Arabidopsis thaliana: one gene and its partner. The protein of the gene in region 1 interacts with the protein of each later gene in a pairwise test. Each region holds a gene or a part of one and is shown on either strand. Other genes may lie near its edges. The genes, in order: BOP2 and DFL2.

The links.
Region 2: the proteins of BOP2 (region 1) and DFL2 interact in a two-hybrid assay, tested with the Arabidopsis thaliana proteins (one large-scale study listed by BioGRID).

The regions. Positions count from the first base shown.
Region 1 is NC_003071.7:17,238,267-17,242,192, reverse strand, and holds the start of BOP2 (Ankyrin repeat family protein / BTB/POZ domain-containing protein), read left to right. Parts: upstream 1-1,583; 5' UTR 1,584-1,989; coding exon 1,990-2,475; intron 2,476-3,184; coding exon 3,185-3,926. UniProt on the Arabidopsis thaliana protein: May act as a substrate-specific adapter of an E3 ubiquitin-protein ligase complex (CUL3-RBX1-BTB) which mediates the ubiquitination and subsequent proteasomal degradation of target proteins. Acts redundantly with BOP2.
Region 2 is NC_003075.7:1,499,680-1,503,605, forward strand, and holds the start of DFL2 (Auxin-responsive GH3 family protein), read right to left. Parts: upstream 1,921-3,926; 5' UTR 986-1,920; intron 891-985; 5' UTR 600-890; intron 428-599; 5' UTR 51-427; coding exon 1-50. Other genes in the region: AT4G03410 (Peroxisomal membrane 22 kDa (Mpv17/PMP22) family protein), read left to right, coding at 2,228-2,563, 2,683-2,823, 2,900-3,013, 3,092-3,265, 3,368-3,483, 3,620-3,824. UniProt on the Arabidopsis thaliana protein: Catalyzes the synthesis of indole-3-acetic acid (IAA)-amino acid conjugates, providing a mechanism for the plant to cope with the presence of excess auxin. Involved in red light-specific hypocotyl elongation.

The DNA of each region.
Region 1 (3,926 bases):
ACATTAATTTCATTCTCTACCTGATTGATTTGATTTTTGTATGTTAGAAGAATAATAGCTTTGTTTGATGATTTACTACTCTTTGATTTTTTTTCCATTAACATATATCTTGATAATCAGTTAATCACTATATCGTATACTATTGAAGTTTAATAATTTACAAAAAAATGCATTTTTATGATAAAATTTATATAACCATGTTTATAATTTTAATTTAAAAACAATAATTTTCTAATAACTTGTTTTGAGCTACTGACAAAAAAATATCACCATATTTATGATAAAATTTAGAGCTTGATTTTTAGTTTCTACATTTAACTCATCAAATAATTATATCAAGAATAAAAAACATGGATCACACATTTAATTAAAAATTATTGGATAAATTAGTATTTAAATTATAGACATATATAGATAAACCGCTTAAAAAATGTTTTAACCCATAGTATTTCTTAGCTCCTTGCCCTTTTCTTTGTTATTCTATTATGTTGCCATCTAGTGCAGTTATCCTTATTTATGAAACGTATCTTACATAATATACAAAATGTTTAACATTTTATGTATAGTATTATAATACATGATAAGTCCTTTAACAAAAACAAAAAAACATGATAAGTCATCATAAAACTTATATAAATTTACTCGACTATAAATGAATAATTCAATCCACAACAAATGCAAATACCTTTAACAAAAAAAAAAAAATTTAAAATATCATCAATTAACAACATGCAAATCAGTAAGAAATATTGAATTCATGATATGTAGTAAGAGAATTTTCAATGAATATACTCCATGTTGTTTACAAAATTTAGGGATTATATCTGTACATAAATAAGTAAAATTTCGATAATTTTAGGCTAATCTTACTAGGATTAGTTTTATTACAGTTGATTACTAAGTATTTACTAAAGTAAGAAAATCCAGTTCTTACGTAAAATCAAGAGACCAAAATTTTCCTTCCCGGATCTTCTGGTTAGAAAAAAAAAAAAAAAAATAGAAGGTAAAGTAAATTTAAATAAGAAAAAAGAAAAAGTAAAGAGGGGCAAAGGAAGATGGTGAGGATTGGTCCAACGGTCAAACAGAAAACCATCAAATCAGATTTCACTACAGTTACGAAATTTATTTCACTCCTTCTGTCTTTTAACTTAATTAGGCCTATGTTCTTATCCACCATCTTCCTCTCTTTTTTTACCATTTTATCCCATCCTCCATTTATATGTGTAACGTATCCATTGTGTTGCTCAGGCTTTCACATGGTTCTGTATCAAGCCAAAAAGACAATTGCCGAGGATCTTGGATTTATTATCTTATCACCCTACTACTCAATTCATATCCCTCGTTTGTTTGGAAATCAGATTTAAGTAGGATTTTCATTAGTCAGGTGCTAATGATATTTCATTGTTTATTAACACTTTTATTAAAATTCTCTCGTTTCAATTATTTCCATTTTCCATTAATAGATTTGGCCCACCTTTGTATTCTTTTCTTCTTAATAATTGTTTTCCTATTTTAGTAACCAAATCACTAAATTTCAATTCATTAATAATACTTTAACCCTTTTTATAATCAGCATCAAGACAAAACACTGAAACAGTTATAATTTTTTTTTAACCATCTTAGTTTAAATATCTGAGCCGCCCGGTTCATCCATTCAAATCTCTCTCTCACTTACCAAACCCAAACAAATATCTAACACCACAAACTCAAAGCAATAAAGAATCCTTCTCTCTCTCTCTTTCTTTCTTTCTTCTTTCAGAGAGGAGGAGCAAGAAAGAAGCTTCAAAAGAACAAAGCTTAAGCTTTTTCCCCCGGAAAATTTGTTCCCCTTTTTCGAAAAACTAATAATTCGTAACTTCATAGCCAACAAGATCAATAAAAGGAGGCAACTTATTTCTTTCATTCTCTCTTGTAAAGAGTACTTGCTAAACCCTAGCTTTTGTTCTATAGAGAATCCAAGAACCAATCAATTTTTTATTTTATAAAAAGATGAGCAATCTTGAAGAATCTTTGAGATCTCTATCGTTGGATTTCCTGAACCTACTAATCAACGGTCAAGCTTTCTCCGACGTGACTTTCAGCGTTGAAGGTCGTTTAGTCCACGCTCACCGTTGTATCCTCGCCGCACGGAGTCTTTTCTTCCGCAAATTCTTTTGTGGGACAGACTCACCACAACCTGTCACAGGTATAGACCCGACCCAACATGGGTCCGTACCCGCTAGCCCAACAAGAGGCTCCACGGCCCCAGCTGGAATTATACCAGTGAACTCAGTCGGTTATGAGGTTTTTCTGTTGCTACTTCAGTTTCTTTATAGCGGACAAGTCTCCATCGTGCCGCAGAAACACGAGCCTAGACCTAATTGTGGCGAGAGAGGATGTTGGCACACTCATTGCTCAGCCGCCGTTGATCTTGCTCTTGATACTCTCGCCGCCTCTCGTTACTTCGGCGTCGAGCAGCTCGCATTGCTCACCCAGGTTCTCTCTTTCTCCCTCTGCTTTCACTCTTCTTACTCCATGCACATCACAAGAAAACAAAATTGAAAGTTTCCACTTTTTTGTTCTTGTTCTGCTTCTTTTAGAGTGTTTTCTTTCATGTGCTTGGCTTAATTTTGGTAAATTACGAAACGCTTTTGATTCGATTTTTATTTGTCTTTCTTTGGGTTTGGGTTAAATTTATTACAAATCGCGAAACCCTTTTGGTCTGATTATTTTCTTTCATGGGGTATTTCGCTTAAGATTTTTAATTTTTAATAACAATTTTTTATTTGTTAAATTATATATGTTCTTGTCTTGATTTCATGTATAAATGAGTTTAAGTTTCTTGCTTTGGAACAATTTTCATCGGATAAAGTTTCCGAAAGCAGACGAACGGTGGTTTTATTGCACGGAAGAGAATTTTCCTAAAAGTAGAAATCTATGTTATGTAGTTGGATCTATTCATTTCTTGGTCTTAATTTCTTATCCAATCCCACAATTTTCCTCATTTGGGGTTTCGATTCTAATCTATAGATAAGGAATAAAACCTACTCCACCATACAAAAATCCATCTGAGATGACAAGAAAGTTAATTAATAGCAAAAAAATCCATAACCTAAAAATGGAAATTAAACCCCACTTGCTGAAAAAGTCGGTTCTTTGGATTTATATCATACTTATCAAATAAATTGTTTTGTATGATTGGCAGAAACAATTGGCAAGCATGGTGGAGAAAGCCTCTATCGAAGATGTGATGAAAGTTTTAATAGCATCAAGAAAGCAAGACATGCATCAATTATGGACCACCTGCTCTCACTTAGTTGCTAAATCAGGTCTCCCACCAGAGATTCTTGCCAAGCATCTCCCTATTGACGTCGTCACCAAAATAGAAGAGCTTCGTCTTAAATCTTCTATAGCTCGCCGTTCTCTAATGCCTCACAACCACCACCATGATCTCAGCGTGGCTCAAGACCTAGAAGATCAAAAGATTAGAAGGATGAGACGAGCTTTGGATTCATCAGACGTGGAACTAGTGAAGCTGATGGTAATGGGAGAAGGACTCAATCTTGATGAGTCGTTAGCATTGCATTACGCTGTTGAAAGCTGTAGTAGAGAAGTTGTGAAGGCTTTGCTTGAGCTTGGAGCTGCCGATGTGAATTATCCGGCGGGTCCGGCAGGGAAAACACCTTTGCACATCGCGGCTGAGATGGTCTCTCCAGACATGGTGGCTGTTCTGTTAGACCACCATGCTGATCCTAATGTGAGGACAGTTGGTGGAATCACGCCTCTTGATATCCTTAGAACATTAACTTCGGATTTCTTGTTCAAGGGGGCAGTTCCTGGATTGACTCACATTGAACCGAATAAACTTAGGCTTTGCCTCGAGCTTGTTCAATCCGCTGCAATGGTGATATCTCGAGAAGAAGGAAACAATAGCAACAACCAAAACA
Region 2 (3,926 bases), on another chromosome or scaffold:
TGCTCGAACCAACCAATAACATCATCATGCCCCGCTTCTACAGTTTCCATCCAATACCAAGTCTTTCAAGGCAGTATAGTATCTCAACGATGCAAAATGAGTAGAAGTCCTAACCCAACATATAGGGGAGTACTGGTCATTGACCACTCCCTTTGTCTTCAGACAAAAGAAATTTCTTTGTGTGTATAGTTGTTCTCACCTTTTTTGGGTCTCCTTATTTGTCTTTTTAATAGGAAAAACATCACAGATACCTCCATAAATGTCACGGGAATTACCGTCCACAAATTCTATCAACACTTAATACAGCTATTAATGCGTTCTCACAGAAGAGTATCCCAGTCTCAACATGTGCTCAAGAGACAAACCTTAACCACAATGTATTTTGCAACTATCATCCAGTGTGGTCCCATGAAAGCCTCTTTGCCTCCTAAAAACCAAAACCCCTACATCATGTTAGCTATCTTTCAACTGCTTTCCCTGTTAATAATTCAGTGAACATAGCCACAAATATGGACATTATTAAATGAACAGAGCTCTCAAACACCTATTTGAGCAAAATAGCATTAGAAAATTTTAGTTCTTCCTATAATGTGGCTAACCTTTTGATGTTTCTTTCTCTGCAAATATCTGGATAAGCATGTAGGACCAAAGCTACCAAGCATCACAAGTTGCACAAGATATTTTTTCTTTTGGGCAGGCTGGCTCTTCCCTCAACCTCAACCTTCACAGGCCCACCACTAGTTTCAACGGGTCTAACATTTAAAGTCCCTTCACTTTCTATCTCTCTCCTCAATCACTATGTGCACAAAATTCCAACCATGGTTTTGCAAGTCGAATGAATCTCTTTAGCCTTTTTCTCCCTCATTATCTTCTTGATGGGTAATTAAATCCTAAAACATCTTATCAAAGCTCCGTAAAGCAAAGGACTAGCTCCACGTTAATCTTAGTATAAGCCAAAAACAGAATTGTCACCAGCTCATCTTACCTCCAAGATAACCAAACAAAAAACGTGGGTAGTACATGACCATTCTTTGAGAAACATTCAAACTGCTTTCAAGAAGTGATTATCTCCTAACCAGACGAAAACTGTTAGGGTACACAGTACATCTTTGGAATTTAGGTACACAGTATCATTCATCCCTGGTTGGTGAACTCGGAATTTGGGTACACAGTACATCTTTGGATGCAACACACAGAAAAATCTAAGCTGTCCCCATACGGATGAATCATTAACGTGGTGTATTTGACTACATTTGGCTTGGCCTCCTTAACGAATCATATTGCAGAAAAACCACATAACCTTCATGTAATTTTCCCTTCTTGCAGAATCTCCAATCACTAAACTACAAGCCTGAAAGTCACTTCTCATCCAAATCTTGATACAAAGCTAGGCAATACTCAAAACCTGCATCATTGTCATATCATTTCTCTACCCTACCTTACAATACTCCTTGATCATGCCTGTTGTAAGTAACATGTAGTCTGATCCTGCAACTGCCCACAATCTCAAATACATGCTTTGTCAAATCAATGAAACATCAAGCTCACCAGAGAATTTGAAGTATGCAAATTGGGTTCAATCCCATTTTCTCTTACCTTACGCCTAAACCCTCCTCTACCATTCCAACCATTCCAAAACTCATAATCAGAGAATTGGCCAAAAAAAATCAGAAAAGACCCAATTTTTTTCTAATTTGATCACAACCTAATCCTATCAACATCGTTAACCAAACAAAGCCAATACATTTACCAAGGATATACGTATGCATATTGCAAAGATCACCCGATTTTATGAATTTCAGAAAAAACCTTCCGCCTGATTCTCTTGAATCGTTTTGATCAGACTGCCGTATCGGCGGAGACCACGATGGTGTAGTCCTTGAACATGTCTAGATCTTAAACCAAAACGGTAGGACTCGAAGCAACTGGTCCTATGGTCTAGTGGTCAGGACATTGGACTCTGAATCCAGTAACCCGAGTTCAAATCTCGGTAGGACCTTTGTTTTCGGCTTCGGTTTTGAGATTGTGCAAACCGGTTTTTAACCAAATTAAAACCCACCGGTTATTGGTTTTAATTTAACCGAAACTCGGTTCGGCTCAGTTCCTACCGTTTGGTCACCAAAGTCTGCTGCTTCTTTTTTGTTCTCTAAGTCTAAAAACCTCTCCTTTGGCTGTGAGAGAGCCAACGAGAAGAGAAAAAGTATCTTCCTTTGAGAAGTGCAAGTCCATGGCAGCTCTCTGTTGTTGTCCCACCACCATCATCGTCTCCGGGAAGGTTTCTTCACGGATTAAAACCGCAGGCCCATTACCCCGAATCAACCCTTTTAAGAATCAGAAACGATTGATTACAGAGAGAAGAAACTTGATCGTTAAATCGATCATTGAAGACAGAGAAGCAATCGATGTTAAAAATGACAATTTCAAGGCAGAGGAAGAACTATCAGAAGATAAAGTAGAAGATACAGATCGGCTGATGAGTCGAGGTATCAACGCAGCTATAGTTCTCGCCGCCGGTACCGTTGCGGTTACTAAGCTTTTAACCATTGATCATGACTATTGGCAAGTAAGCTTAGGGTTTTCTTTATCTCTCTTGTGATTGATTGGTTCTTCTATCTCTGCAAAGCTTGCTCCTTTATGGGATTATACTGAAATTGATATCACGATTGTTGTTGTTCTTCTTAGGGTTGGACTCTCTACGAGATACTTAGGTATGCACCTGAACATAATTGGTTTGCGTATGAACAAATTCTCAAAACAAACCCTGTTTTGGCGAAAATGGCGATTAGTGGAATTGTGTATTCTTTAGGAGATTGGATTGCACAAGTAAGAAACTAAAAATACTCTAAAAAGCTTCTTAATTTGAGTTCTCTCTGACCATTTTGGCTGTAACTTTATGCAGTGTTACGAAGGAAAACCGCTGTTTGAGTTTGATCGAACTCGTGTTCTTAGATCAGGTCTTGTTGGATTCACACTCCATGGTTCACTGTCTCACTATTACTACCAATTCTGTGAGGTAAAAATCAATCTTTGCTCTGTCAAGATATGTTGTATTAACAACGGGCTGAAAGCTAAAATCTTTTCTTTGTACAAGGCTCTCTTTCCTTTTCAAGAATGGTGGGTAGTCCCTGCAAAAGTCGCATTTGATCAAACCGTATGGTCTGCAATTTGGAACAGTATCTACTTTACAGTTTTAGGGCTCTTGCGTTTCCAATCTCCAGCTGACATTTTCAGCGAAATCAAGACAACATTTTTGCCAATGCTCACTGTAATTAACTCTCCTTGCCCTGTGTCTTCGTGATCATATATAAAGCTTAAAGTTAGTCTGTTGATTTTATCTAAAGGTTATGTCATGATTTTGTCTATGCAGGCAGGCTGGAAACTCTGGCCATTGGCACACTTGGTTACATACGGTGTAATCCCTGTAGACCAAAGGCTTCTTTGGGTAGATTGTATTGAACTCATATGGGTCACTATATTATCAACGTGAGCCTTCTTCAACTTCAATCTTTTTTATCCAATGTATTTGAAAGTGTTGCACATATTAGCTTTGTGGCTATCATGAAGAGAAGTTTTGTGTTGCTAATATCGGTTGCCTGATTTTCATTTCGAATTCTGGAAGTTACTCGAACGAAAAAGCTGAGGCGCAAGCATCAGAGGAAACGAACTCCAGTTCTCACTCAAGCGAGGTTTGCCAAGTGTTCCTTTTTTCCAAGAATCTCTCTTCAAAAATTAGTCTTGAGCGTTTGAATGTTTGTTCAGAGTGTTCATCTAAGCTAATTTGTGCCTGCAAATACTTGACAGGATTAGGTGATATCAGCATGTAGATTCTAGATTCTATAGACTCTAACAGGAGGTGGATGAAGAACACAAGCACATATATACTTTTTTTTTGTTTAGAGAGATACCTAAAAGCAATGTATATACAC